Oryctolagus cuniculus: one gene and its partners. The protein of the gene in region 1 interacts with the protein of each later gene in a biochemical or structural test. Links are inferred from orthologs where the notes say so. Each region holds a gene or a part of one and is shown in the gene's direction. Other genes may lie near its edges.

Region 1 (4,162 bases):
CCGTAAAGAGGGGCTCGGGGGTCGCAGAGCCTCATTCCTGCGTGGATGAGGGCCCAGCCCCTGCCACGTGGGTGCCCCAGCCCCAGGCCCTGGGGGCCTCCCTCCTACTGCACACCCAGGGCCCTGTCTGTGGTCTGCCACCTTCTTCCCTGCCGGCCGAGGGCAGAGGCTGAGAGTGGAGGTGCTGGCCGCAGCGCTGGGGAGGACCCCAGGCCAGGGCTCCCCTCCTTCCGTTCAGGCCGCCCCAGGGATCAGGGACTCTGCAGGGCTCCAGCGGAAGCCCCGGCCCCCTCCCCACCCCGGCGGGAGCAGGGGCGGCGCCGGGTGCGGACCGCGCAGCCCGGCTCTTCCTTCTATGGGCTGCAGGGCTCTGTTACATAAACATGGCGGCGCTGCCTCCGGGGCGCTGACCCCGAGGTGCTACCCCAGCTCTGGCTCTGGGAAGGCAGGAGCGGGCCCCCCGCCGCAGAGCCGCCGCGTCTCCCGGAGACAGGTGTGCCCAGAGAAGGCAGCGGGTCAGGTGCGCAGAGCGCCAGCCTGCGTGCGCCCCCCTGGGCCAGGGCTGCCCCGCTCGGCTCCCAGCTTTCTGCGCCCCCCTGCCCCGGCTGCGGCGTGAACTGGCCAAGGCAGGCACACTTGGGACGCGCTAGCACTGCCGCGCGGAAAACCGGCCGCCCGACGGGACACGTGGGAGCAGCTGTGCGCGTGACAGCCCCGGGTCTCCCTGCACCACCGCGTGCCCGCGCCAGGCCCTGGCCCCTCTCTCCAGGGGCCCCGGCGCCATCAGCCCTCAAGGTCATCGTGACCGGGGTTGGGGGTGGGGGGTCTGGGCGCCATCCTCCGGGCTGTTACCCTCGAGGCCCCGGAGGGCGCAGCCGCCGGGCCAACCACGCAGCCAGGCTTCGCACCGAGCCCCGCGCCAGGCCTCGCTCCGGCCCAGCTCCGAGGGCCCAGCGCCCCGCCGGACCGAGCTGCCCCGCCACGCCCGCGCCGCCTCGGCTATTGAGATGCAAATCGCGCCCCCCTGTCGCCGCGCGAGGCGACGGCCCGGGCGGATCCTTCCGCAGCCCCGGCTCAAACTTTCGGCCTCCGAAAACTTGAGAGCGAGAAGTAGTCCCCGGGCGCCCGCTGCCGCCCGCCCCGCGCCGCCGCGGCCCCCCGCCGCCCAGCGCCCGGCTCCGGACGCGCGCCCCAGGCCGCGGGGCGCGGGGCCGCCCGGGGCGCGCGCGCAGGGACGCGCGGCCCGCGACGGGGCGCGGGGTGCGGAGGGATCGCGGGGCGGGGCCGGCCGGGGCGGGGCGGGGGGCGGCTCTCCCGGCGGGGGCGGAGCGCGGCGCGGCCCCGCGCCTCACTCGTGCCTCGGCCGCGGGCGGGAGCGCAGGGGCGCGGGCGCTGCGGAGGGGCGAGCGGCCGCCGAGCCGGCCCGGACACTGCGAGAGCGCAGCGCGCCGCCGGCCGGGAGGGAGCGGGACCCGCCCGCCGCACCGTCGGGCGCGCGTGTGCGTGGGAGCCGCCGCCCGGGGCAGCGGGCAGCCGACGGGCAGGCATGCGGCCGCTGCCGGCGCCCCTGCTCTGCCTGGCGCTGCTGCCCGCGCTGGCCGCGAGAGGTAGGCGCCCGCCCGCCGCGGCCCGCAACTCCCCGCGTTCCCCGGAAACTTCGCGCGCGGGCGCGCGTGGGGGATCGGGCCCTGGAGGGGCAGGGAGCGGCGGCCCGGCCCCTGCCGCTCGCCCCTCGTCGGGGCGCCGCTCCGCGGTCGGGGTCGGAGCCGGGCGTGGGGCCGTGGGGGCCCCGCGGGGCGCGCCGCCGGCCGCCCGCCGCTTCTCGGTTTGAGTCGAGTCCCTCTGGCTTCCTGTTGCTTGTCGGGGCCGCTTGTGTTCTCTGCTGCGCCCGGATGTCGGGGCGCGGGGCGCGGGGTCCGGGGCCGCGCGGCGCGTGTCGCGCAGCCCGGCTCGCGGGCGGGTGCGTGGGGGTGGGAGATGCGCCGAGGCCTCCCCCGTGCCTGGCGGGACTGGAGTTTTCGGTCGCTCTCCGCAGCTGAAGTTTGGAAACCGCGGGGGCGGCGCGCGGGCTGGGGCGCTGGTTCCCGCGCGCTCCCGTCGGGAACTCCGGGGCGTGAGAATGACCTGTCCGGTACCCCCTCCCAAAAAGTGGGTTCCAGCTCACACCCGTCCCGTGGCAGCCGCGCGCGGGGGTCGCGCGCGCGCGCTCCGCAGCCGCCTTCCGGGGGCCGTGGCGGGGCTGCCCCTGGAGACGCCCGCCGCGGGGGCAGGTATTGGGTGTCGGCGGAGGCGGGGCGGCCCCGGGCGCTGTCCCCGTGCCCCGGAGGCGGCCCCGGCGACAATGGGCCGCTCTGATTCCGCGCCTGGCGCTTTGTCGGCGGGCGGGGCGGCGGGGGCGCAGCTGTCGCATTTTCCCACGAGTGGGGGCTGCCCTGGCAGATCGCGTTCGCACGAGACAATCTGGGTGGCTGGACGGGGCCCCCGCCCTCCAGGGCTCCCCAGCACCCAGCTTGGGGGGGGCTCCAGCTGCCCCTCCCCACCAGTTCACCTGCTGGCCTCGCCCACCTGTTCCCAGGCCTGGCCACCTCTGGGCACAGACCCTGGGCCAGAGCACTGAAGCCCCCGGGTTTCATCGGGGCGGGCTGTGGCCCCGGCCGCTCCCCACCCCACGCTCATGCCCCGGAATCGAGGGGTGGGCCCTCGGGAAGCCCCGGTAACCACCCTCTCTCCCCCACTTCCCCAGGCCCGAGATGCTCCCAGCCCGGGGAGAGCTGCATGAATGGTGGCAGGTGTGAAGTGGCCAACGGCACGGAGGCCTGCGTGTGAGTACCGCCGCGTCGCGCCGGGGACCTGTTGCCTTGGTGGGGAGCCGAGCCCCTGCCTGCTGCGGCCCGGAACACTGGGCCATTGTCTTCTGGGGATAGCCCAGAAGGCCGGCTGGGTCACGTGCTGACTTTTATTGGACCCAGCCTGGCAATTACTTAATCACCAGCAATTATGCCGCACGCGGGTCTGGCCGCTGGAGGTCTCAGTGTGCTTCGGGGTCGAGGGGCGACCCCTGGCGCCCCTTGATTCCTGAAGACCCTGGGACACGGTGGGTGTGGGGGGGTGCTGTGTGTCCTCCCCCACTGTGTCACCCGGGGAGCCGCCTCCCCTGCGCAGGAAACAGCTCCAAACAAAACCCACCCCCTGCTCGGCCCAGAGCCCTCCCTGGGCCCGGGGTGCCGGGCTGCACCCAGCTCCTGGGGCTGTGGGATGTGGGGCCGCCTGCGGGGAGTTTGCTTCCTGTCTCGGCATCTGCAGCCTCTGACCTCCCAGACTCGGGGTGGCGTGGGCGGGCGGAGGCCGGGATGTCTTGGAATGTGCTCCTCCTCGGCCGCCCGCCTGCCCGGGAGCCCCCCGTCGGCCCCCGGCCGGCGCCCGTCAAGTTCAGCTCGTCCCTGACCAGAATAACGAAGAGGCGTCTGGAACCGGAGGGAGTTCCCCAGCCGTGGGCGCCCTCGTTCCAACCGCCCAAGGGCCCATTGCCGTGGCAACCCCGGCGGCTCCTGCCGCCCCGGTGCCCGGCCTGTGGGCCGGCAGCCCCCCCCACGCCGAAGCCAATTAGGCCGTCTGCGTGCAGTTTAATGGACAAAGCGGATTGTGTCTTTGTCAGGCACTAATGAATGCATGCCGGCTCCTCTACCCCCTGGCTTTTGGGGCTGCCCTGCCCGTGCAGAAGCCTCGCGGACGCTGGCGGCCCTAAATCTCGTTTCCTTTCATTCAGGGGCCGACAGCTGGGCTTCAGCGGCCGCGCAGCCGCTATTGTTGGGGAGGCGGATTAATGCCGAGTGATTAATTACGCCCTTCGCTGCCTCGGCGCTCGGCGCTCCGCGGGCCAGGGCTGGGAACCTTCCTGGGAGGGCGGTGCCGGGCGCGCGCCCCCCGAGTCCCCTGCCCGGGCCCGGCGGGAAGCCTGCCTCAGTTGGGCCTGGCGCTCAGCCGAGCTCTGCCACAGAGGCCTCATTGTGCCCACGCCACCCCCCAGAGCCAATTGGAAGGCAGGACGGAAGCGCCGTGGGCAGAGGCCCCCACCCCTGGGCAGCAGGGCCTCCGAGGGACGCAGGTCCGGGGACTCTCACTGCCCCCCCCCCCCCGTGGGCCGCCCTGCCTCCCGGTTCCC
Region 2 (4,139 bases), on another chromosome or scaffold:
TACTTACATATTTCAGTGGTAATTTTGAAAGTTATCCCCCAAGAGTTAATGTACTAGTAGGCTTTTGGATTACTTACCTAAGTACACAAAATGTAGCACTCTGAAGTTACTATTACTCTATTTAAATAATCTCACCGTGTAGAATGTACATGTTTGAAGACTGGTAATGGGGCTCCATAGGGCTTTCTTTAGTCCTAGGCACTCTTGCTTTTGTGTCCCTCCTCCACTAAAAAGTTAGAATTTGTCTATGCATTTCTATGAAAACGTAATTAAGACTCACTTTTTATTATTTTTACAGGGCTCCCATCTGCTCCCCAAATGCCGCAACGGCGTGGCTGGGTGGGGCCAGAGCCAAAGCCAAGTTCCTGGGTTTTAAAAATAAAACTTTGATGAGCTGCTGAGTGTTTCTCAAAGTGCAGCCTCCTGGTACCTCTTCTTTTACCTTTTCACGTGTTCCTAGCGTTGCCTGCCCGACCCTCTGCCACACCATTTAGTTTTACTTTTCCTGGTATCTATAGCAGTTTTAGAGTGACTTTTACCCAACAGACTACGCTCGCAGTCCCGGCTCAGAAAGTCGGACTCCACACACTTCCGCCCATCTGCCGGTCTTTTTTTTTTTTTTTTTTTTTTCGGAAGTAACTCAAACTTCGAAAAGTTGTTCAGACTTTGTACATAAGTGGAAGGTGGCAGGCCCAGTGACGAGACGGTGCAAGATGAACCCTCTACCAGCTCCCTCCTGGGCCGCTCCGGGGCTGGATGCGAGGGGCGAGGGAGGAAACCGGCCGGCACTGGAACAGCGTGGCTGCTCAGCGCTCTTCGGCCGGATCCCGGAAGGCGGAGGGGAATGGGGAAGCGCTGGCCGCTAGGCAGCCGGCTACGCCGCTCGGCGTCTATCCCGCTTCCCCCGGGGACCCGGAAGGGCCTGCCTTCGGGGGCGGCGTTCAAGAAACCTCTGGTCACCGCTAGTACGGACGCCCGTCAGTCACACTCGGCTTGGCCTCCAGGTCGCAGGCTCGCCCTAGCGCTCCGGCCCGCCCCGAGCGCTGGAGTTCCTTTTAAATACCACTCGGGAGCCCCAGCTCGCCCCTTACGTGCTCGTCTCCACGCCCTCGGGCGGCCGGCTCCTCCTCCCCTCATTGGCCAGAACCTCTGTCCGTCAGCCGTGACGCGCGAGGTCGCCGGCAGCGGCCCGCCCTCTTCCGAGAGCCCCGAAAACAATTTTAAGATGGCGGCGGCGGCGGCGCGGAAAACAATGGGGTCGGGGCGGCGGGGACAGGCCGCGGCCTGAGGTGGGCAGCGAGCATCGGCCTGGGGTCGGGCGGAGCGGGCAGGAGGACGGTCCGCCGCTGCGCGCGAGCCCGCTCCGCAGGCCGCAGGAGCATGGCGCGGCCGTGAGGCAGACAGGGGCCGCGGCGGGGAGCGCAGCGCGCAGTGCCAGCCGGCCCCGAGAGGCCGGGCCCTGGGCCCGGCCCGAGCAGCCCGCGGCTCATGGTGCTGCCCACCTGCCCCATGGCGGAGTTCGCGCTGCCACGGCACAGCGCGGTCATGGAGCGCCTCCGCCGGCGCATCGAGTTGTGCCGGCGCCACCACAGCACCTGCGAGGCCCGCTACGAGGCCGTGTCGCCCGAGCGCCTGGAGCTCGAGCGCCAGCACACCTTCGCCCTGCACCAGCGCTGCATCCAGGCCAAGGCCAAGCGCGCCGGCAAGCACCGGCAGCCGCCCGCCGCGGCCCCGGCGCCCGCCCCGGCCCCGGCCCCGGCGCCCGCCCCGGCCGCGCGCTTGGATGCCGCCGACGGCCCGGAGCTCGGCCGCCCGGGCGCGGTGAGTAAGGCCGGCTGGAGGGGAGAGGACGCGGCGGGGAGCCGGGCGGTTGTCATCTCCGGGAAGTGGCACTGTGGCCTCACCGTCGCCCTTTGCGTGAGGCCCGGGCTGTTGAAGGGTTGGTTTATTTTGGAACCGACTGGCAGTCAGGTCGCCGGTGCGGTGTGGACTCGAAGCACAGCAGGCCTGGCCGCATTTATTCTTCAGATGTTGATTGAGTCTTTGGGCTTTGCAAGGTCCCGAGCTGTAAGTAGGGTCAGGGCTTTAATATGGAAATCGGTCGGCCTTCAGTTTACCAAACTGCTTCTGAATGGGAAATCAAAAAATCTTTCTTTGACTTGCGTTGTTTAGACCGCCCTGAAATTTCACTGTGTACCTAAGATTCCTGCGGAACTGTTGACAACTCCAGTTTTAACTTAGGAGGCCTGTTTTAAATCTCTCTGTTACATGGTTGTTGGTAGATTGGTTGGTTTCCCAGTAGGTGTTCAATGAAGTTTCTGAGTTAGAGGTTTGCTCTGTTTTCCTCCCTGAAAGGGATTTACATAAAGGGAGAGAAGGGCATTTTTGTTCGTGGTTTTCTTGGACATTGACAGTTTAAGACAAATGTTACCAGTTCGGCGTGTTCAGTGTATTCTAAACGCACATCTTTATTATCTCAGGGAGACTGTGGTGCCACTCTTCCTGCCGAGTCTTCAGGCTCTTTCTCCCTTCCTCTTTAAATTCTGGAGACTTCATTTGCTGGAGGGGGAGAGGGCAAACTGGCGTGTCTTTCAGGACCAGTCTGCCCTGACCAGCCTGTGGTGTCCCCTGCAGAGCTTCTGTTTGGGTGCTCTTGCGCACCTCCTCCTCTCCAGCACCAGCCCGGCTGCTGGGCTTGAAGAAAGAATCCTGAGTTCGCAGCCCACTTCGTTTGCTTATTGTATCCATTGGCCAAGTCATCTCCTCCTCGCTTTGCTCTCTTGTAAACTGGGAGTCTGTTGGGCTTCTTATTTCCCCAAAGGGTCTTGCTAAATTCGAAATAAATGAGTAAGGATGTGAAAGTATTTCCAACACTGACCAGCTGCTGTCTATTTCTTGTCCGCACTTTTCAGAATCCCGCCATCCTGCCGGGCCCATCTCATCCCCTTCCTGCTTTCAAAGTGGATTCTGACCACCCTGGCCCACAGCATTCAGGATCTCCTTTGTCAGAACATTTCGGAAGCTGGTCTGGGATATGTATTTTTAGCTCATAGCCACATATTTAGGTCACAACTTGCAACTAGACTGTAAGCTCCTGAAGGCATACGGGGAGTGACCCAGCACATGTTGAGTGAATCACCTTAAACTTGGTGGTGGTTTACTTCCTAATCCCGCCGCCCATCCGCTAGCCTCAAAAAGCAAAATGACTTAACTTAGTGACCCACCTATACTGACAGTTCTTGTTTTAAGGAAAGCCCTAAGAGTAGTGAAGGAAATAATAAAAGCTCATAAAAAATAGTTTTATGTGCAAACAGTTGCCTTGAACCTCCCCTTAAAAGTTTAGTAGTAGTGATTCAACTTCTGTTTGAAGGCGGGGGTCAAATGATTTTTTTTTTTAGTCGTGGATTCCTGAAGGGAACCTAGGTGTGTGCCGTTTGAGGAGAGATTAATCCTGAGTGTGTTAGACTGTATGTCTGGCTTGCTGGTCATCCTTTTGGGTGTTAGCTTACTGTGTGACCACAGTAAGCCCTGACTCTCGACTGCCTTGTTGGAAACCCTAGAGTAGGAATTGCTGTTTTGAGTCTCTGCTAGGAAGAGGGCTCTTTTTCTTCGCAGGCTCCCGGTGATTATAGCTGAGCTCTTTGGCCTTGGAATGGGATTGTAGGAACAGAAGGTAACTATTGCAGAGAAAACAGTGGCATTTTCCATCTTGCTGGCTCCTTCAGTTCAGAGCCAGGGAGAGTCCTTTACCAAGTAGGGTCTCAGCTTGCAGAGCACAGCTTTGCACAGAGAGGTGGGAAAGAGAAGGTTCCCCTTTCAGCCGTCATTATCTTCTGTGACTGATCTAATCAATATTCCTTTCATAAGGAAGTTCTGATTTGTTTTTCCCAAGTGTGCGGTAGTCATGTCACAGCCAGGTACTGAATTAGCAAACCATCTGTGTGCCTGAAAAGGGTGCAGACACACTGTTGTGTTCACCTTCACTTGAGGTTACTGGCTTTCTTCTTGGGATACCCCTGCGGCAAAGTCTTGACCACCGTCTGCTGGAGATGAAGCAGGGACAGAGCTTCAGGCTCTTTTCTCTCCTCGTTGTCAGGGAATGAGCCCAGGAGGTTTTCTTTATACTCTGTGCTCTTTAA
Region 3 (3,500 bases), on another chromosome or scaffold:
GTCAATCGTCTGTCCGAGGAGCGTTCAGCTGGGTTCCAAACGGGGATGATCTCATGAGGAATGAGCTGTCTGCATTCTTTTTGGCACATTTAAATCCCAGCAACTAGTGTTGTGCTGGGTTTTGCACAGAAATGCTTGGTGGCTTTCTGCTGTTCTGTTGCGGGGCCGGTTGGTAACCAGCAGCTGGGAAGTTATCAATTAGCTCTCCTTCCTGGACAATGCAAGGGAGGGGGCTCAGATGGTCACAATAGAGGAGCCTGGTACCTCTTATTGTGCTGCCTTATTAAAGGGTCTCTTATTTCACACCAACTCTGTGGTGTTTCTTTCCAAGGGGGGGGCAGGTGGGGGAGAGAACTCTGTCTCAGTGGTCATCCTTGTTTCCTTTCAGATGCAAATGAATGTGAGGCCAAACCTTGTGTAAATGCCAAATCCTGTAAGAATCTGATTGCCAGCTACTACTGTGACTGCCTTCCCGGCTGGATGGGTCAGAACTGTGACATAAGTGAGTGACTTGGTTTCCCCCAGAACTTGGGGGATTTGAAGGGTCTTGCCCAGCCCTGCTTGGGCTGCAGTTCTGAGGCTTGAGCCATGGAAGGAACACTTAAACTGGGGATGTTTTTGGAGAGGTCGTGGTCAGTGCAGCAGTGCCAGCATACGCTTTGTCGGGCTCCATAGCTGCTAACCTGGCTGTAGTCTGATAAGGTGGCTGGGACAAGGGTGTGCTGTTTCACTCCCTGAGTCTGGAGCAGTGGTGGTGGTGGGGGGGGAGCCTCATCTCACAGGGGGACCTTGGTGGGAAACTTTGGTCTGTCCCGAGCTGAGGGGGCTTTTCCGTGAAGCTATATTTCAGGGTAAATCTCTTTCCTCACTGTGCATCTCCATCTGTATATATGAAATTTGTTCCCTTATAGAAGTTGTGAAAAAACTTGCCTCTTTAATGTGATGACTTATTTACTTTTTAGATATCAATGACTGCCTTGGCCAGTGTCAGAATGACGCCGCCTGTCGGGTATGTAGACCTCTGCTTGAATCCAAACTTTGGGTGATTGACAGCAGATCTCAAGATATATGGGATGCAGGGAGAGCTCTGTCCCCCTGAGATTGAGAAATGCAGGTGGAGAGGGGGTCTCTGGATGTTTCCCGGGGCTCGCATTCCCTGGCCTCCTGGGGGGGTCGTTTTGAAGACATAGAGATTCCTATGGCCTCAGGCAGTTAGGAGTGCTTTAGCTGGACGGCAGTGGCCCTGCGAACAGGCGGGGAAGCCCTGTGTCTGGATCACAGAGTCAGCATGTGTTCCTACCGCTTCTGCCCCTCCAGGATCTGGTGAATGGTTACCACTGCATCTGTCCACCTGGCTATGCAGGCAACCACTGTGAGAAAGACATCGATGAATGTGCCAGCAACCCCTGTTTGAATGGGGGTCACTGTCAGAATGAAATCAACAGATTCCAGTGTCTGTGTCCCACTGGTTTCTCTGGAAACCTCTGTCAGGTGAGTGCTGATGAAACCTCAGACGGCCAAGCTGCCACAGCGCTGCCGCCTCCCTTCTTCCTCCGTGCCCCCCTCTTGACTGTCGTGTCTGGAGTCTCGTGGTGTCTAACGTCCTATTGGTTAGGAGCTCCGCTAGACAGATGCTGGCTGGCAGGAGAGGTTGATGAAGGATTCTCTGCTTCAGGCCTGTAGCCCATACTGTTTGGCCTTGTGTTCCATTTCCATCACCCCCCGGCTCAGCGCGTGCTCTTCTCTGCTCTGTTTTTTCAAATACATACCTGGACCTAGGACATACGACACATGGTGTCTCTTTATAGAAGTAGATGGAGGGTCATGTTCCTGCCCCAGAGCAGAGGCCATGACGCTTGTTTTACTTTGATTTTTTTTTTTCCCCTCCCTCCTTCCCTGCACTTGACATTTGCAGCTCGACATAGATTATTGCGAGCCCAATCCCTGCCAGAACGGTGCCCAGTGCTACAACCGTGCCAGCGACTACTTCTGCAAGTGCCCTGAGGACTATGAGGGCAAGAACTGCTCGCATCTGAAAGACCACTGCCGCACGACCCCTTGTGAAGGTACCCCCGGCCCCCAGAACCCGGTTTTCCCCAGACTTCGTCCTTTTTCACCCCAATTCGCCACCTCTCCTTGGTACTGCCAGAAAGGGCCTAGAGCTAAGGAGGACTGACAGATTGAAACTACCATGGTCTGCCTGCCGAGGGAAGTCAGGACACCTGGAAACAATCTATTCAGGCCCAGCAGTGGGAGGACCCTGCCTACAGGCAGCCCAGGGGAGAGCATGTGAAATCCATTTCTCACTCTTGTTCTGGGGTGGGCTGATTGGCAACCCCAAGTTGAATTCCTCAGGGCAGCAGCTTTCCTGCAACAGCGGGGAATGTCCCATAACTGTGTCATCAGGTGTGGTAGCCACGGGCCACGGTGGCCACTGAACATTTAGAAATGTGAACTAGTGTCACTAGAAACTCATTTAAATGCCAGTAGCCACTTATGACCCGTGGCTGCTGTAGTAGGCGGCACAACCTTTTAAAGGCTTCTGCAGGTTTGTCCTTGCGTCTTGTTTGACGCGAGATTAAGGAGGGAGGAGGTTTTTTCCTTAGCAAGCATTTACCACATGCCAGAGTGGGATGAAAGGAGCCCACAGGCAGGGGGGAGACTGCTTTAAGAAAACAATCTCCACGAGGTGTCTCGGCCCCACCTGCCATTGCGCGACAGGGCACATTGCCGCCCAGTGCTTCTCCCCTCTTCAGCCAAAGGGCACTCCTCTCCAGGAAACAGGGCTTGGCCTATGGCGGCCTTGGCTTAGGAAAGCCATGTCTGTGCATGTCCCTGGCTGTGATCTGATCCCCAGCCTGTCTTCTAGTGATTGACAGCTGCACAGTGGCCATGGCGTCCAACGACACGCCTGAAGGGGTGCGGTATATTTCCTCGAACGTCTGTGGTCCCCACGGGAAGTGCAAGAGTCAGTCGGGAGGCAAATTCACCTGTGACTGTAACAAAGGCTTCACGGGAACATACTGCCATGAAAGTAAGACCCCTCTCATCGGGGAATGGGCCACAGCTGCCACTGCCCAGCCTGGGGGTGGGGTGGGAGGAGTCATTTAACCAGAAAGGGGAAGACTGGGGAGACTGGCAAAGGCTTACTACATCTGGGACCTGAGACTGAGGTCATGTTCCATTTACGAGATCTTGTTGGGCCTCCCTGCCTGTTCTGGAATGTTCTGGAGTCCTACAAGTATAGATGGTCCCTCTCTTCTGTAAAAGTTTCTTCCCCGTGTCCCCTAAGTAGCTTTGTGAGTGAGGCCATAAAACCACATGGGGAGGCACTGTCTGGAGGCCCCTGCTCACTGAGCTGCCTGTATGTTTCGGAAAACGGTGCCCATGGAGTTGAGCATGCTGAGATGCCGGGAATGTGCAGGGCTTGGCTGTGGCGTGACTTGTCCTTCAGCCCCCTTAGTTCGTTATCCTTCTCCTCCTCCTTCCTTTCACAGATA
Region 4 (4,143 bases), on another chromosome or scaffold:
CAGTTCGAGTCTGGCTGCTCCACTTCCAATCCAGCTCTCTGCTATGGCCTGAGAAAGCGGTGGAAAATGGCTCAAGTCCTTGGGCCCCTGCATCTGCGTGGAAGACTGGGAAGAAGATCCTAGTTCCTGGCTTTGGATCTGCGCAGCTGCAGCCATTGCGGCCAACTGGGGAGTGAACCAGTGGATGGAAGACCTCTCTTTCTCTGCCTCTGCCTCTCTGTAACTCTGCCTTTTAAATAAATAAAACCTTAAAAAAAAAACTAAAAGCTAATCAAAACTAAAAGCTAATTAAATCTTTTTTTGAAAAAATAATCTATTTTTTATTTGAAAGGCAGAATTACAGAGAGAGATGGAAAGACAGAGAGGGAGGTCTTCCACCTGCTGGTTTACTCCCCAAATGGCCATAACAGCTGGGGCTGGGCCGATCCAAAGCCAGGAGCTTCTTCTAGGTCTCCCACGTAGGTGCAGAGTCCCAAGCACTTGGGCCAAACTCCGCTGCTTTCCCAGGTGCATTAGCAGGGAGCTGGATTGGAAATGGAGCAGCTGGGACTTGAACCGGCATTGCCTGTACTGCAGGTGGCAGCTTAACCCACTATGCCACAGTGCTGAACCCTGATTAGATCTTCAAACTAAATCTGTCACAGTTTTGACTTTTGACAGGTCTTTGTTCAGAAGCTCAGTCCAAATGAATGGCCTCCTATAAATCTTACTGAATATATTAAATCATATATATATAATGTATGTAGGTATATACATATATATTTATACACATAAGGAATATTCTCAAAGTGACTTGCTAAAGAACACAAAAATACAGTGGGTCTTCAAGAGGTTCATGGAAAATGTATATTATTATAAAAAAAACTGTCTAAATTTCAATTTTTTTTGGTGCATAAAATAACTATATTTTAATTCCCTTTTTTTCTACCAACGGTTTGAACTATCCCAGTTAAATCCCCAGGAGTGTTTGGGGAAGAAAGGGTACTGGTTCAAGAACAGTTTTCTGATTGTGAATGTTCTCAGAGCGTCCAAGAACGCTCCGGTCTCACGATTTCCTACCGTTTCAGAAACCCCATTGTCCTCCACTCAACTTGCTTCGGGCAGCCTCTTATACTTAGACACCTCTTCTAGGTGAATGGGTCTGAGCGGGGGAATAAAATAAAGGCGTTTAAAATGCCTCTCCCCCCACCCTCGTTATTTAGCCAAGGAAATGTCCTGTCATGTGACAGTAAACGAGTAATCAAGTTAGCCATTTACTCTTGACTTCAGGGGCCGTCCTGTAAAACCCCACGGGTCAGAAGAGACCCGAATTGTACTCACGTTTAAACAACTACAAGTCCCAGAAGGCTTTTCGGCGGCGGCGCCTGCGCATCGCGGGTTCTGCCCTCTTCGCTCCTGGTTGCCGGGAAAGACCCGCCCCGCGGCGCTGTCGCTCGCGTTAGAAGAAGCGGAAGAAGATGGCGCTCACCAGGTGGGTTGTTGATTTGGGTCCTTGATACGGAAGGGTCTGGTAGTGCCCCTCTTTTTCATGTCTCTGCCCCGTCGTCTCCAGCCAGGGATCTGGCTTAGGACACAGGAAGAAGAGAGCCGAGAGCTTGGCGAGGGCCTCCCGCCGGTCGCCGCGGCGGCTAGGCCTCCCCGACGCTGGGGTCTTTCCTGAGCGGCCTTGGGTTGAATTCGGCCCCTGGGCAAGGCCGAAACCCTCGGCGGGACCGCAGAAGCTGGAGAGCGGCACGTGTTTTCCGCTGAAGCCCCTTGCGGGTGTGTGGAGCGCGCGCCCTGGGGTCGGCGGCTCCGCGGGACGCGATGGCACCGTGGGGAGCGGGGCTTGCCTACGCGGGCGGAGGGAAGCGCGCGGGACGCGACTGCGCGACGCTCCGGCCGTTGTTCGCTTCTGGCTCTCTCCTTTTCTCTATCCACTCTGTCGCCCCGAACAAAGCTTCCCGAAAAGGGGGATCCGGAACTGATCGGGGAGTCTTCAGTTAGCCACAGTGGGGGCCGCTGTGTCCCCATAGGCGCCAGCGCTCCGCACTTTTAACTTTGAACCTTAGAATTTCTTCGGTGAAATCGAACCACCTTGGAGCGCTGCTGTGCCCGGTTGCCTTGGTAACCAAAGGCCAAGCGCTCCCTTCCTTTAGGAGAAAAAGATGCTCTAAGCGGGAGCTTCCGAGAAGTTACATAATTCCCTATGCGTGACCTGGCTGCCCGGTCTAAGTAGGCAAACTTTCCCCGCGAACTCATCTGGAAAAGTCGAGTGTGAAAAAATGGGCTGCAAAGGAAGCTGTCATTTTAGGGCGTGAGCTTGAGCTCCCTGACCATGCTTGGTTCTCCTCAAGCGTCTTCAGCCAGGCCGATGACACTGAATTTAAAAAAAAAAATTTACGCGACCATTCTTTTGGGAATGACGTTGAGTGCCTTGCTGTATTCAGGCGTTACGTATCCAGGAGATCTGTCTTTAGCTGCAACGCAGATGGGGCCCAAGGCATACAACTATCAAAGTGCTCATTTACATAGATGATAGTCTTAGTGCAAAAAGCAATTAGATGAAGAGAACTGCGTGGATCAAAGAGTTTGCTTTAGAAACTGTTACAGGTAGGTGCGAGGCATTGTGACATAGACAAGTAGGGTCAAGAGAAAAAGTTAGAATTTGAAGTGGATATGCAGGGAAAATACCAGGGATGTTGAGGGTATTGTGTGCTTAAAATCGCAATGGCAGAATGCAGTCTTTAAGTGGCCAGTCTTAGCAACTGTGTTGCTTTTCATATGCTATTTGTATACTTTTAATGTCCTCTATAATAAATCGGTAAACGTTTCCCTGAGTTTTGTGAGCTGGCCTAGCCAGTTGAACTCAAGGAGGGAGTTGTGGAACCCCAGTTTATACCTCGTGGGTGAGGAGTATACCCTGAGCACACTTGAAATTGGTATCTGAAGTGTGGCAGTCTTGCAAGACAGCCCTCAGGATCTGTCAGAATTGAATTGAATTGGACATTACCTGAATGTCTGGAAACTCCCCCCACATCTGGTGTCAGAAGTGTTGGGTGTGTTGTATTGGTTGATGAGTGAGAAACTTTTTCCTATACTTTTGCATTCCTATCTGTGCAGAGCTTGCCTTCTGGTTATATGAGTGAAACAAATCAATAATGCCATTTCAGGTACCAGGTACTGGGAAGACAGTAAAGGGTTGGAGGGTGACTCCAAGTTTGGAATCAAGTGGCTTTTTTGGACAAGGTGGTCACAACTTTAGGAAGGTGTAATTAGTTGAGCAAAGAGATGCGCTGCTAAATGCAGGCTGCTAAAAAGTTGGGGAAGAGTTTGCTGTAAAGGAAAATTGCTTTTAGTAAGTAAATAGACTATGTCATGGTAGAAGGAATAGCAAAGGTAAAGCTCCTGCAATGTCTTTTTAGGGAAAGATGACACGACTGTAGGGACATCAGGATGATGAGTGCGAAGTATCGAGTGAGCTATTTTCTATCTTTAAGGAGCCCCTGTTAGCTGGACAGTTACTGGGAAGTTGGGATGAAAGAAGTTAAATCCGTGGGCCCTGCCTCAAAGTTTGTGATGGTGCTGTGTGAGGATAGATGACTGCACTGCAGTGAGGTGGATATTTCTAGTGATGAAACACAGAGATACACAGAAAGTCTTTTTTTTTTGCCAGGCAGAGATAGAGTGAGAGAGAGACAGAGTTATAGACAGTGAGTGAGAGAGAGAGTTATAGACAGTGAGAGAGACAGAGAGAAAGGTCTTCCTTCCATTGGTTCACCCCCAAATGGCTGCTATGGCCGGCGCATCGCGCTGATCCGAAGCCAGGAGCCAGGTGCTTCCTCCTGGTCTCCCATGCGGGTGCAGGGCCCAAGCACTTGCGACATCCTCCACTGCCTTTCCGGGCCACAGCAGAGAACTGGACTGGAAGAGGAGCAACCGGGACAGAATCCGGCTCCCCAGCTGGGACTAGAACCTGGTGTGCTAGCGCCGCAGACGCAGGATTAGCCTAGTGAGCTGTGGTGCCGGCACACAGAAAGTCTTATGGGAACAGAGGTAGAGATAGCTAACCCAGACTGAAGAAATCATGCAACAGACAGGATGCCAGCTGGTTCAGGAATTTTTTCATTTAATACTTATAAGGTTGATAACTTTCATGATCTA
Region 5 (4,045 bases), on another chromosome or scaffold:
GCTAGGGCTGGGCCAGGCTGAAGCCAGGAGCCTGGAGCTTCTTCCAGGTCTCCCACATGGGTAGCAGGGGCCCAAGCACTTGGGCCATCCTCTGCCGCTCTTCCCAGGCCATTAGTGGGGAGCTGGATCTGAAGTAGAGCTGCCAGGACAGGAGCCAGCACCCATATGAGATGCTGGTCTTGCAGATGGTGGCTTTGCCAGCTTCGCCACAATGCTGGCCTGGGGGCATTCTCTTCACAAGCTCAACATCATCATCACGTGATGAAAGTCAGCAGTAATTCACTCATCATCTATATGTAACCCGATTTCTGATCTGTCTATCACAAAACAAGCCGCAGGGGCCAGCAGCGGGCATCCCACAGGGACTCTGGTTCAAGTCCCGGCTGCTCCACTTCCAGCCCATCTCCCTGCTAATGCACCTGGGAAAGCAGCGGAAGACGGCCCACGTACTTGGGCCCCCTATGTCGGAGACCCGGATCCAGCTCCTGGCTCCTGGCTCCGGCCTGGCCCAGTCCTGGACGCTTGGGTCATCTGGGGAGCGAACCAGCGGATGGAAGATTTCTCTCTCTCTGTAACTCTGACAACCAATCCTGAAAACAAACAGTAACACCAGCTTGCAACACTGGGGATTCCACCGAGACCCAATGTATCTCACTGCGGCGTCTTTGTAGCGCTTCCTCCGCACACTGCCCGGCCACTGGGGCTGCGCCGGCTGCAGGATGCATCACCGGGGGCTGCTCGACCCGGGCTCCCCGTGGGCGCGTGACAGCCGCACACACGGTGGCAGCCCGCGCTCGGGGGGCTCCCCGGACCCAGGATGGTGGCCAGGCCTCACGGCAGGCGCTTCACCTGTGTGCCTGGCTTCGGTGCTTCTGGCTTTGGGTTTGCAATGCCCGCGTAAGGCGTGGCTCGGAGCCAGGGCCCCGGCAGAACCGCGAGGGAAGCAGTGAACGAACGCACGGGAGGGCGACTCCGCTAATCTGGAGACGCCCTCCTCGGGGGTCTGATCAGCCAAGGGAGACTCTCCTGGAGCAGCGAGGGCCCCGGGGGCTGGGGGCACTAGCTCCCCCTGCACCTGCACGCCCTCTCCCCATCAGGCCCGCACCTGCCCGAGCCGGCGGGGCTCACAGTCCACCGGCCCGGCTCCCGCGGCCGCCCGGCCCGGCCGGAGGCGCCCGCGCACGCCCACCTGCCGGCCGCGCACGCGCAGCAGCGCCCCGGCCGCCCGCGCCCCGCGGCGCGCCGCCAGTGCGCAGGCGCGGCGGCCGATGCGAGTGTGTATGTGCGGGCGAGAAGATGGCGGCGGCGGGGGAAGCAGCGTGAGCCGCCGGGCCGCGCCGAGTCCCATTCAAACGGGCCGCCATGGCCCTCCGCAGCCCGCAGGTAGCCGGCGGCCCGCGCCCCCGGCCGGAAGGGGCCCGAGCCTGGGGGAGCGCGCGCGGGCGCGGGCGGCCGGGAGCGAGCGTGTGGGGTGGGGGAGGGCGCGGGACCCGCCGCCCGGGCCTAGGCCCCGGGGCCGCCGCCGCCGCCCGGTTCCCGCTCCCCAGTCCCCGGCCCCGCGGCTTCCCGGGGCGAGCGGGGCGCGGCGCGGCCCCGGGGTCTCTGGCGGCGCCGTCGGCGCGCCCGGGCCTGCCGCCGCCGCCCGCGCCCCGCGCCCCACGCCCCCGGGCCGCCCCCAGCGCCGTGGACCCCGCGGGACCCGCCGGCGCGGGTGGGCCGGGGGCCGGGGCCGCTGAGGACAGCGGCGCGGGCGTGCGGGTGCCGCGGGGCCCGGGGCGGCGCCGGCGGGGGGCGCGGCGGCGGGGGTCCCCTGTCGCGCACGGGGGGGAGGTGCTGGGGGCGCGGGGCGCGGGCTGGGGGTCGCGCCGGCCGTGGACCCCGGGCTGGGCGCCGGCTGAGCCCCGGGCCCCGGCGCCGGCGCCTGGGCGGCCGCCGCGCGCCTCTGAATGAGAGGTGGGAGAGCGGCACAAAGTAGGTGCGGGGCGGGCGGCGGGGCAGCTCCCGCCTTGCCGCGCCGCTTTGTTGGCGGCGGCTCCCCCGGGCGGGCCGCGGGCCTTTCCTTAAATATGCACGGACAGCACCTCTCGGGGGGCTCCGCTCTTGGGGCGCCCGCTCCGGCGTGCCGTCGGAACTTCCCGGTACTCGGGTCGCCGGGCAGCCGGTGCGTCGCGGGCTTTTCCCCCGGGAGGCCTGGCGTGCGTTTCTGCGGGCTTCGCGTGCACAGAGGCTCCCGCACTTCCTATACTCGGTGCCCGGGCTCGTTCGCGGAGGCCACGCGTGCCTCCTGGCGATGGCCTTTGCGTCCGTGGCCCGGGACTTGTGCCTCTGGCCAGCGCGAGACTGACCTGCGCCTCGGGGCCGAGCGCGGTTGGACCCCTCTTCCTTTCCTGTCTAAAAGAGAGTGGTGGAAGGAAGCAGTGGCGTCCTGAGCAGGGTTTGGCTGTTGGACCGGCCGGGTCTCGGTCACGCTGTCCCGAGAGTCTGGGCGCTTGGGGCCCCGTCATTCATTCAGCAGCGATCGCCGAGCCCCGAGCCAGGCAGGCTGACCCGGTACGAGGTAGCTATCGCAGTAGCAGCCCCAGTTAGCCTCCTTTACAACCGACTTGTTAAGGCTACAGTTTTACAGTTTTGTGTGGATTGTAGCCTGTTTCCATCATACTGGGAAGTGTTGGTTGAGCCCATTCCCTGCGCGGAAGTGGAGCAGTGAAGTTGGAAACATTTTGAGTGCCGCTGGCTTGGGAGGGTTGAACCCTGTTGAAGAGTAAGTGTGTCTGCTCCATGAGTGTCTGTGGTCCCGAGGGACCTGCGAGTGCCTGGCTGACGCCTCCCTGCCCCGGAGCCTCACAGCGCTGAGCGCCCCCCCCCCCAGTCTTCATCCCCTGGGGGCTGTGGGGACCCGCCGGGTGTGGTGACATTCCTGCAGTGTGCTGGGGTACTGACTGTATGTAGAGGGCGCATCCCGAGACTAGATGCGATGCCACAGGTGTGTGTTCTCTGTCACCTGAGTGGGCGTGGCGTGTCTGGTGCCAGCGGCCCCCATCCAGGGCCTGTCCTCCGTGTGGCTGGGCCCAGAGTGTTCTGAAGTGGCCCTGAGAGAAGCGTGGCCCCCTGCCCTCTGGGTTCCTCTCCAGAGCAGACGCCGGGCCCGTGTTCCAGCGCTGTCAGGGGAAGGGACGTGGCCCTGAGGCTGGACGCCGGCTTTCAGCCCAGACCTGGGGGCGTGGGCACATGCCGTGCTCAGAACACACTCAAGGGGTGGGGGAACCGGGGTCGTCTCCACTCGAATTAGTTACAGTGAGGCTATTTCGTTTTGCCTTCTTTTTTAAATTTATTTATTTGTTTGGAAGAGTTACAGAGAGCAAAGGGAAGATGTACAGAGAGAGAGAGAGAGACCTTCCGACTGTTGGACACTCCCCAGATGGCCGCAGTGGCTTCTTCTGGGTCTCTCACGGGTAAAGGGGCCTAAGCACTCGGGCCACCTTCTGCTGCTTTCCCAGGCCGTTAGCAGGGAGCTGGATCACAAGAGGAGCAGCCAGGACTCGAACCGGTGCCCATGTTGGAAGTTGGCATTACACACGATGGCTTTACCTCCTGCGCCGTGACACTGGCCTCTTGCTTTTTTATTTTTTATATATTTTTAATGCAGATTTCAGACCTGTAGGTGACTCTTGCTAGGTCTGCTTCCCCGTTAAGCCTGGCTGCTGAGGGCGCCGCTCCTGCTGGCCTGCTGGAGAGTGAAGGGTTAGGACGTGCTTGCTCTTGAATTTGCACGCGGCTGCCCCGCTTCTATTCACTGCCGCACATGCAGGAATCACCGTGGCACAAAGCAGACAAATCTGTCTGCGGTGGAGTTTGCTGGCCTGGGGCCGCTGGATTACTGTCATCTGTCACTTTAGTGCCACTTCAGCAGTGTAGGTGTCGTTTCCAAAGACTCGCATGTGCTTGGGCTGCACTTTTCCTGGTGATCGGTGTGGTCACGCAGAGGTCTTTCCGGGACCGTTTTGTCAGTACTGGCTGGGTTAAGAGCTGGGCGGGGGGGCAGCGC
Region 6 (3,500 bases), on another chromosome or scaffold:
CCCAGTCACCCCGGTGCCTGTCGTAGAAAGTCTTCAGGTAAGACCGCTCCCACGCTGGCCATGAGCTCTGTGCGGCCACTCTTGACTGGGGCTCAGCATAATTGTATTCCACAGTAATTTTAACTGCCCCCAAATCTTGTGATTTAGCGTTTTTGTTCTACTTCTGTTATTGATAAAGAAGAAGAAAACAGGAGGGAGGGACTTGCATGCAAGAAAATGCAAATTTAAATCCCCTTGCACTTTAATCATGAAGTGTTTTAGCGAACTTTGTAATCGTGCCATTTGAAAGAAGCGTTTGTCAAGCAGAACCTTTTACAAGCTTTCACAAGTGAAATGACAGTTGAATGAGAATCTAATTTGTGTACTTTAATGAAAAATGGGGTTTTCTGAGTGTTGCGATTTTGCTGTGACTTGCAGCTGAACGGCGGCGGAGACGTAGCAATGCTTGAACTCACAGGCCAGAATTTCACTCCAAATTTACGAGTGTGGTTTGGGGATGTAGAAGCGGAAACCATGTACAGGTACTTGTTAACACTCGCCTGTCACCGTGGGTGTGTGTGTGTGTGTGTGTGTGTGGGAACTGAGGTTCTGTCCTGACAGTGCTTGTGTTAGATGAAATGACCTTCTGTGAAGTCTCTGGAACACGCTTTGTTTTCACTGCGGTTTTTAAGTGATTTCCTTGTCCTCACAGGTGTGGGGAGAGCATGCTCTGTGTCGTCCCAGACATTTCTGCATTCCGAGAAGGCTGGCGATGGGTCCGGCAGCCAGTCCAGGTTCCAGTAACTTTGGTCCGGAACGATGGAATCATTTATTCCACCAGCCTTACCTTTACCTACACGCCAGAGCCAGGGCCGCGGCCTCACTGCAGCGCGGCGGGAGCCATCCTCCGGGCCAGCTCCAGCCAAGTGCCCCCCAGCGAGTCCAACACAAACAGCGAGGGAAGTTACACAAACGCCAGCACCAACGCGGCCAGCGTCACATCGGCAGCCACCGTGGTGTCCTAACCACCGTCTTTTTGCTGGGACCTAACTGACTCGAGGGTGGCAAAAAGTTGACAGAAAAAGGAAAGAGAAAAAAAGAACAATCTTTTTGTGGTTTCTTGGGAAAACTTTTCATACCAGGTGATCCTGTTCAAAGCCCCCGTTACCTGCAAGTGCTGATTTGAAATGCAGAAGCCACAGTAAAACAAAAACAACATCCAAATGTACAAACTATTGGAATCGAATTTTTGGCTGTTTTTTTTTTTTTTTTTTTTTTTGTCATTGTTTTTGTGTTGTTTGGTTGGTTGCTTTTTGGTTGGTTTTGTTTAAATGGGCCAGAAATAGATATGTGGCTGGAATATAAGTTAAGCAAACTAGAAGGCAAAAATTAACCTAGTTTTTACGGACCAAGGAACTTGTATAAGCTTTAGTAAAAGGTACATTTTCACCATGCCTTTTTTATATCGCAATATATAGTACACTTTGTTACCAAATAGGCTCTTCTCCCACCCCTTGGAGCTTTTGCTCTAAAGTACATGCAGGTTCCAAGCCTGACCGTGCTTGTTTAATCGCTGATTACCATATTCCAGGTTGTTTTGTTCTGTTCTGTTTTGTTTTTTGGTCCAAGGCTGGAACTTCTTTTTTTCTCGTAAGCTGAAGTCTTAATGACTTTCCGTGAGTTGGAATCGTTTAGATTTCAGCAAGTCAAATCTTGTAAAGGCCTGCATTTTTTTTTTTTTTTAAAGATTAAATGAAGTCTGTGCAAAAGCTTTAAAAGAAATGCCTCTGCCTTGCCTGCCACATGCAGTGGACGTCACCAGAGTCTGTCCTCAACACTGTGGGAGTTCTTCTGCGCGTCCCCCCCCCCCTTTTTTTTTTTAAGAAATTGTATTTATAGCAGTAATCCAAGAAGTTCTAACATTGACGTGGGATTCACTGTGGCCATTTAGTTAATGAGTTAATGGCACAGAACACGTTGGTATTTGAAGTGTTGGCTCCCCTTTTCCCGTACGTAAATACATCTGTGTGCTCCAGAATGTGTTCAGGTCCTTCCCCGCCCCAGTATTGTACATAACTTGTATTATGTGTAAGTTAAACGTTTTATTTTGAACTTGGAATGTTCCCAGTGATTTCATTCAGCAGGGTCTTTTCTGCCTTGTTGGCAAACGGAAAAAAATTGCTATCATGAGAATTATTATTTGCTATCAATTGGTAATAGTGCCCTTATGGTAGAATGAGGAAAATCTCAGCCGGAAGCATGCTTCATTTCCTTTACCTCTTGTTTTCATTTTGTTTTGTTTGGTAGCCTAGGCCAAAACATCATTGTAACCTTCAAACATAAGATGCTTTTATTAGGTGATAAACTCAAATAGCTGGAAGACAGTACTTTAGAAACAGATAGTTGTAAGTTTATACAAATGCAAATGTAACTCACGTTTCCGTTTCCCTCTCTGCCTTTTTTGGTCTCCTCTTCCCCAGTACTGAGCACCTCTGCCAATGTCTCCTGCTCAGAAGACGTTCCCTTTCGGTTGCTGCGTGCCTGCGCTCGGGGCCGTGTGTCGGCCCCGCACGCTCACCTTGCCGGTGGGACGTTGCTGCCCTTCTCGCACTTTGGTTCTGCCTTTTGTTCAGCTTAGAAATTGCAGCAGACTGGTTGGATGACAGTAGTACAGGAGCCATGTGAGAAATGTCACAGGACGCAGTCTAGTAATACAATCATCCTTCTTAGAGTAAAATCTACCTCTAGATCGTGGTAAGCTTTTACTGTCCCATAAAACAAGAGCCACAAGTACCTTAGGAGTGCGAAACTGTAACTTCCCGCAGCGTCCCCGCGTCTCTGCTGCCCTGGGCTATTTTCCAGACGTTTCCATCGTTAGACTTTGTAGACGTCGTTTGCTAGGAGCCTTCCCCCTGCTTTGCTGTCTTCATCTGTCTTCTGCTTAGACTCTGCCACTGTAAATACTGCTCCCAACAGCTGCAAATTGCCTTTTCCTCCGTTTTCAAGGGGAAAGTCCTTTGTAACACACGAGGTGGTTAAATCTATGTTGTTGCGGTTTTCTCTTACTGCAAGCCTTTTTAATCACCCCAGGCTGCATTATACTATATATAAATAAAGAAATATATATCTCGCCTTTTCAGATCTGCTCCAGTCACTCACTCCTCTCCTGTAAATGAATCCTGCCTCACACCTGAAATCTGTGATCAAGGGCAGAACTCATTGTGGCCTTATCTTTCTTTGTTGTAACTGTTCACTAGCTTTTCCTTGCAAACTTGCTTATTTCTGGGTAGTATTTATTCTCTCTGTCACGTCTGGGGAAGTAATTACTATACAGTGCTTTGTATTCGGAGTGTGAAGGTGTTTTCCATGCTGCTTTACTTTGAATGGGCCACAAGTTTCCTCCACTTCCTATAGATGGTCAGTCAAGAAGTGTTAACAAAATCAGCTGATAACACAGGAGATGCTTTTGAAGAACAAACTATTCCCTACCCAGCTTTGTAGCTCAAAATGACTTTTCAAGT
Region 7 (4,276 bases), on another chromosome or scaffold:
ATTATTTATTTGTTTTGAAAGTTCTTCACCCACTGGCTCACTCCTCAAGTGGTCACAGAAGACCACTGGGGTCTCCCACATGGGTGGCAGGGACCCAAATACTTGGGTCATCTTCTGCTGCTTTCCCAGGTGCATTAGCAAAGAGCTGGATTGGTAGTGGAGCAGTGGGGCTCAAACAGGTGCTCATATGGGATGCTGCCCCCCCTCAGAGTTCTTTCTTGGGGTGCTAACCTACCATAGTGTCTCCCCAGCCCGTGCTTAGCGCAGTGTCAGGTGCGGGCAGCAGCTCAAATCCAGGAATGGTGGTCAAGGGGAGGCCCGTCTGCAGGGGCCAGTAGCAGTCTACCCAGCAAAAAAGTAAAGAAGGAAAGAAGGAAGGAAGAAAGGTAAAAAGAAAAACTCCTTTCTGCCAAATCAAGATTTCCCTATGACCCGTGAACCAAAACCATCGCTGCCACCCTCACTCTCATTCTATCCACGGTAATCATCAAAAGGCCCGACCGTAGCTCTGGGTGGAAGCTGTGAATAACTGGCGCAAAACCAGGAGATTAAAGACCTCGCCAACGCCCAGAAGATGTTCCTACTGCATTGGACCTAAGTCAGTTATGCTATCGGAATTCCAGTTTACTCTGTGAGGAGATTCGGGTGTAACCGAGACGGACTTAAATGGAACATACAGATGAGATTTATTTTTGTAGCTGGCAGGCTTGGATGCATGCCGACCCCTCATCGCCGCCAGCTGCTCGGGCCTGCCTTTCAGGACTCCGGACCGCCCGCTCCCACAGCCGCCGCCTGCTTGCCCGGACAATTCGGGCCCGCAGGCGCTTCCTGGGGACGTCCCCGCTCGCCCCCAGCCCTCCAGGCTGCGAGAGCGCCGGGCCAGCAGCAAGAGCCCTGCAGGCCACCCGAGCGTCCAAGGCCGCCTGAGCGCGCTCCGCGTCTCTACGCTGCCGCCAGGGGCGGGAGCCGAGCCGCCCCGCCAGGCCGGACCGGGGGCGCGGGGCGCCTCCACAAGTGCGGGCTTTCCCCACCCCCGGCGGCGACCCCACCTCCCGCCCCCGCGGCGTGCGCGCCTGTGTCCGTCTGTCGGTCTTCTCTCTCGACGTCAGTGGGAATTTCCAGCCAGGAAGTGAGAGAGTGAGCGAGAGAGCAAGAGAGAGAAGTGCACCAGCGAGCCGGGCAGGAAGAGGAGGTTTCGCCACCGGAGCGGCCCGGCGACGCGCTGACAGCTTCCCCTGCCTTTCCCGTCGGTCGGGCCTCCAGCCGCCGCCACCGCCACCGCCGCCCTTGGCCTGAACGCCGCCTGCCTCCCCGTGCCCACAGACCGGCGCAGCCCAGGCCGGAGCCGCCGGGCCAGGAAGGCGGTGCAGCGCCGCCCGGCTGCCGAGCGCCCCGCGCTTGCCTCCGCCCGCGCTGCGGACATGGCGCGGCGCTGACGGGCCCGGCCCGGTCCGACCGCGCGCCTGCTCCCGCGCTCCGACCCGCACCCGGGCCCGCTCGGGCGCCGGCTCCAGCCGGCTGCTGCCTCTTCCTTCGCCAGCGCGCAGGCCCGCGCCGCCCCGGAGGGCAGCCCCTAGGCGCCGGGAGGCCGCGCGCGGACCCGCCACCAGGGTAAGCCAAACTCGGGCAAGTGGGGGCCTCGCTGGGGACTGGGGGCCGCGTCCCGCCGCCCACCCGGCCCGCAGCCCCGGTACGCCCCCTTGGCCTTCCTCATTCCTGCGCTAACCGCTGGGCCAGACCGTGGGAGGAGGTTGACAGTAGTTGAGAGGCACATGGGCTTTGGCGACTGGGGGGAAGGCACATCCGGACTGCGCGGGGCTGTGCGGCCGAAGGGCCGCGGCCGCCGGAACCCTCCAGTCTCCTGAGCCCCGCTGCCCGGCGAGCACGGGTACCAGAAGCGACTCTTGGAAACTTTTTTTTTAATCCACACCCCTTGTCTCTGTCTGGGGGTGTCTGGAGGTTTGGGGTACGCTGCGGCGCGGAGGAGATCGGGGAAGGTGGTTGGTGCAGTGCAGAACCAGATTTCACCTAAGGGCGTTCCATGAAATGAAAGCAGAAGTGCTTGTCAGTTCTCTAGGTTGGAAAAGCCCTCCCCAGCTTCCCAGAATTAAACAGGAGAGCCTATTCCTCCCTATTGGACTTCTGAAAGAGAGAAGCCCTCGCTTCCCACAAGTGCCCGGCGTGTGTACATACATACGCACACTCACACACACAGCGACAGGGCCTAATCTGTTCACCTGCTGTTGGACCTGCGCATTAGTTTTCAAAAAATGGGGGCCTGGTACTCATCCTCCAGGGCCTGGCGTTAGAGAAAGATGAGAAATCACACTTAGAGCACTTTTCACTGGATTATGTAAAGCTCTGGACAGTGGCATCGTGCATTGTGCCTAACCTCGAAAACCAAACTCATGATATAAACCAAGACTATTCTAAAGATAAGTTTTCTTATGAGCTTTTAAAATAGACTCTGATGGACGTGTTTAATTTGGCCTATCCTGCAACTTAACTGGTACTTAATGATTTAGGATTTAGTTATCAAGACTGAGGACAATTTCTGATCTTTTAACTAGAGGTTTTCAGCATTGCAGCTTATGAAATAACATTGTTTAACTCCAAGGTTTTCTTATAAAGCTTATAATCTGAGAAAAATGTTATGGTATTGCTAAAATATTTAATAGTTCTAGCATCAGAATGTTTTTCTACAAACTGAAGATCTTTGGTAAATACTAATACTTGAAAACAAAATTATCAATAATTATTTTTCTAGCAGGATTCCTCAACTGAATATTCTTGAATAGTTTTAACTGTATTAGTGTGTGCTGGAACTTTAAGAAGGAAACTTAATTAAAATAAAACCCTTAGCTGAAGTATGTTGTTTTCTTGATTTTAATATTGTGCTTTCTAGAGATGAATCCTTCTATTGTTTTATGTACTAAAGAAATTAGGTAAATAAAGTGAAATGCTTTTTGAGCTGATGAGCTCAGGAAGATAGGAAATCAAAAGAGGTGTGTTTCTTTTGGCATTTTACATTTATCATGGAATTGAATTCCTAAAATGAAGGGTGTGTATATGTGTATGAAATGGAAACAGGAAATCTCATAAAACTGTTCATCCATATTGATATACCTGCAACTCCTCAATGCCTTCCTTCACTTGTTTAGGTAAAATGTCTTCTTGGGCAGCCTAGTAGGCCAACTTGAACACAGAAGACTCATTGTATGTAGGTTTTAATGCTGGAAATTAACTGCTGCTTGTTGTGGAAAGTGTACCACTTTTAAACTACTTGAAGAACATATTTAAGAAAACAGTATAATCCTATTAGGAGTTGGTGGTGATTTGCAAATCTGTTATCCTAGTTTTGAAATTGCAGTTTTATCTTCTGTGCTACAGTTGGCCCTCACGTGGGCTGAGTAGATGCTCCTGTTTTTCAAACTCAGTAAAATGAGGAGTATACCCATAAAAATGGTCTTGTTCCCCTTTGTGAGCACTCCTTTGATCTTTGCACTTCCTTTTACTCCTACCACTTAAACAATATCATTTGTGATGACTGAGTTGGAGTTGGTTAAAGCTCAGTTATTCTGAAATAGGCAGGTTTATAGATCTACTGATCATAGTCCTTGCATTTCTCTTATCATTGTTCCTTGAAACAAATTGAAACTAGATTGAGTAACTAATATTTATGCAGGTTGTTTTTGCTACTGTTTTTAGAGTTCCAGGTAGTGGATGAAGTAAGTTACTGCCCTGACTTTGAGGGATTGCCCATTGTGTTAGATAGGAAATTTAGATAAACAGTTGGCAGCTTACATGGATCTTGGACAATGATTCAATCAGCAAACCCTTATTTTTACCTAATTGAAGTGAGATATTCCCCTGTTCAGAAGAGGCGAAAGTTCTGGCTTCTGGGGGGAAGTGGTTACTTCCTAACCTTCAATTAGTTTGAACTCAAAGAGTAGAAAAGTAGTTCACAGTTTAAAACCATAAGTTAAAGTAATTCTATCTGTGTTGTTATACAGATTTTTGATGAGTGCTCAAAATATCTTACCTTCAGAACATACTAGTAGATGTGCTTTTCAAGGAGGTGACTGCTGTAGGAAGTTAGATCTGCAAGAGTCGAGAGAGCAGTTTAACAGTGAGTAAATATTCAAATTACGCTCTTCTGTCTACAGATTGAGCAGGATTCACATTCATATGGGCACATATGAATCAACAGCTGTGCAAATTTCTCCTTGATTTGTCTTTTAGTGGGACGGTTGTTTTGTATAGGTGGTTAATTGGC

Evidence for each region.
Region 2: the proteins of NOTCH1 (region 1) and MAML1 form a complex in vitro, tested with the Homo sapiens proteins (2 studies listed by BioGRID). The link is inferred for Oryctolagus cuniculus from reciprocal best matches to the Homo sapiens genes NOTCH1 and MAML1.
Region 3: the proteins of NOTCH1 (region 1) and JAG1 form a complex in vitro, tested with the Homo sapiens proteins (3 studies listed by BioGRID and IntAct, with this or other methods). The link is inferred for Oryctolagus cuniculus from reciprocal best matches to the Homo sapiens genes NOTCH1 and JAG1.
Region 4: the proteins of NOTCH1 (region 1) and SNW1 form a complex in vitro, tested with the Homo sapiens proteins (3 studies listed by BioGRID). The link is inferred for Oryctolagus cuniculus from reciprocal best matches to the Homo sapiens genes NOTCH1 and SNW1.
Region 5: the proteins of NOTCH1 (region 1) and USP10 form a complex in vitro, tested with the Homo sapiens proteins (2 studies listed by BioGRID, with this or other methods). The link is inferred for Oryctolagus cuniculus from reciprocal best matches to the Homo sapiens genes NOTCH1 and USP10.
Region 6: the proteins of NOTCH1 (region 1) and RBPJ form a complex in vitro, tested with the Homo sapiens proteins (5 studies listed by BioGRID and IntAct, with this or other methods). The link is inferred for Oryctolagus cuniculus from reciprocal best matches to the Homo sapiens genes NOTCH1 and RBPJ.
Region 7: the proteins of NOTCH1 (region 1) and NFKB1 form a complex in vitro, tested with the Homo sapiens proteins (2 studies listed by BioGRID). The link is inferred for Oryctolagus cuniculus from reciprocal best matches to the Homo sapiens genes NOTCH1 and NFKB1.

The regions. Positions count from the first base shown.
Region 1 is NC_091432.1:236,551,944-236,556,105, forward strand, and holds the start of NOTCH1 (neurogenic locus notch homolog protein 1), read left to right. Parts: upstream 1-1,362; 5' UTR 1,363-1,546; coding exon 1,547-1,607; intron 1,608-2,743; coding exon 2,744-2,822; intron 2,823-4,162. UniProt on the Homo sapiens protein: Functions as a receptor for membrane-bound ligands Jagged-1 (JAG1), Jagged-2 (JAG2) and Delta-1 (DLL1) to regulate cell-fate determination.
Region 2 is NC_091437.1:67,743,013-67,747,151, reverse strand, and holds the start of MAML1 (mastermind-like protein 1), read left to right. Parts: upstream 1-1,339; 5' UTR 1,340-1,488; coding exon 1,489-1,821; intron 1,822-4,139. UniProt on the Homo sapiens protein: Acts as a transcriptional coactivator for NOTCH proteins. Has been shown to amplify NOTCH-induced transcription of HES1. Enhances phosphorylation and proteolytic turnover of the NOTCH intracellular domain in the nucleus through interaction with CDK8.
Region 3 is NC_091442.1:35,571,291-35,574,790, reverse strand, and holds part of JAG1 (protein jagged-1), read left to right. Parts: intron 1-388; coding exon 389-502; intron 503-962; coding exon 963-1,009; intron 1,010-1,317; coding exon 1,318-1,491; intron 1,492-1,915; coding exon 1,916-2,066; intron 2,067-2,869; coding exon 2,870-3,034; intron 3,035-3,497; coding exon 3,498-3,500. UniProt on the Homo sapiens protein: Ligand for multiple Notch receptors and involved in the mediation of Notch signaling. May be involved in cell-fate decisions during hematopoiesis. Seems to be involved in early and late stages of mammalian cardiovascular development.
Region 4 is NC_091451.1:23,450,505-23,454,647, reverse strand, and holds the start of SNW1 (SNW domain-containing protein 1), read left to right. Parts: upstream 1-1,343; 5' UTR 1,344-1,457; coding exon 1,458-1,471; intron 1,472-4,143. UniProt on the Homo sapiens protein: Involved in pre-mRNA splicing as component of the spliceosome. As a component of the minor spliceosome, involved in the splicing of U12-type introns in pre-mRNAs.
Region 5 is NC_091449.1:66,213,584-66,217,628, forward strand, and holds the start of USP10 (ubiquitin carboxyl-terminal hydrolase 10), read left to right. Parts: upstream 1-1,245; 5' UTR 1,246-1,362; coding exon 1,363-1,383; intron 1,384-4,045. UniProt on the Homo sapiens protein: Hydrolase that can remove conjugated ubiquitin from target proteins such as p53/TP53, RPS2/us5, RPS3/us3, RPS10/eS10, BECN1, SNX3 and CFTR.
Region 6 is NC_091433.1:21,378,279-21,381,778, forward strand, and holds part of RBPJ (recombining binding protein suppressor of hairless), read left to right. Parts: coding exon 1-37; intron 38-417; coding exon 418-521; intron 522-691; coding exon 692-1,004; 3' UTR 1,005-3,500. UniProt on the Homo sapiens protein: Transcriptional regulator that plays a central role in Notch signaling, a signaling pathway involved in cell-cell communication that regulates a broad spectrum of cell-fate determinations.
Region 7 is NC_091439.1:62,714,509-62,718,784, reverse strand, and holds the start of NFKB1 (nuclear factor NF-kappa-B p105 subunit), read left to right. Parts: upstream 1-1,476; 5' UTR 1,477-1,611; intron 1,612-4,276.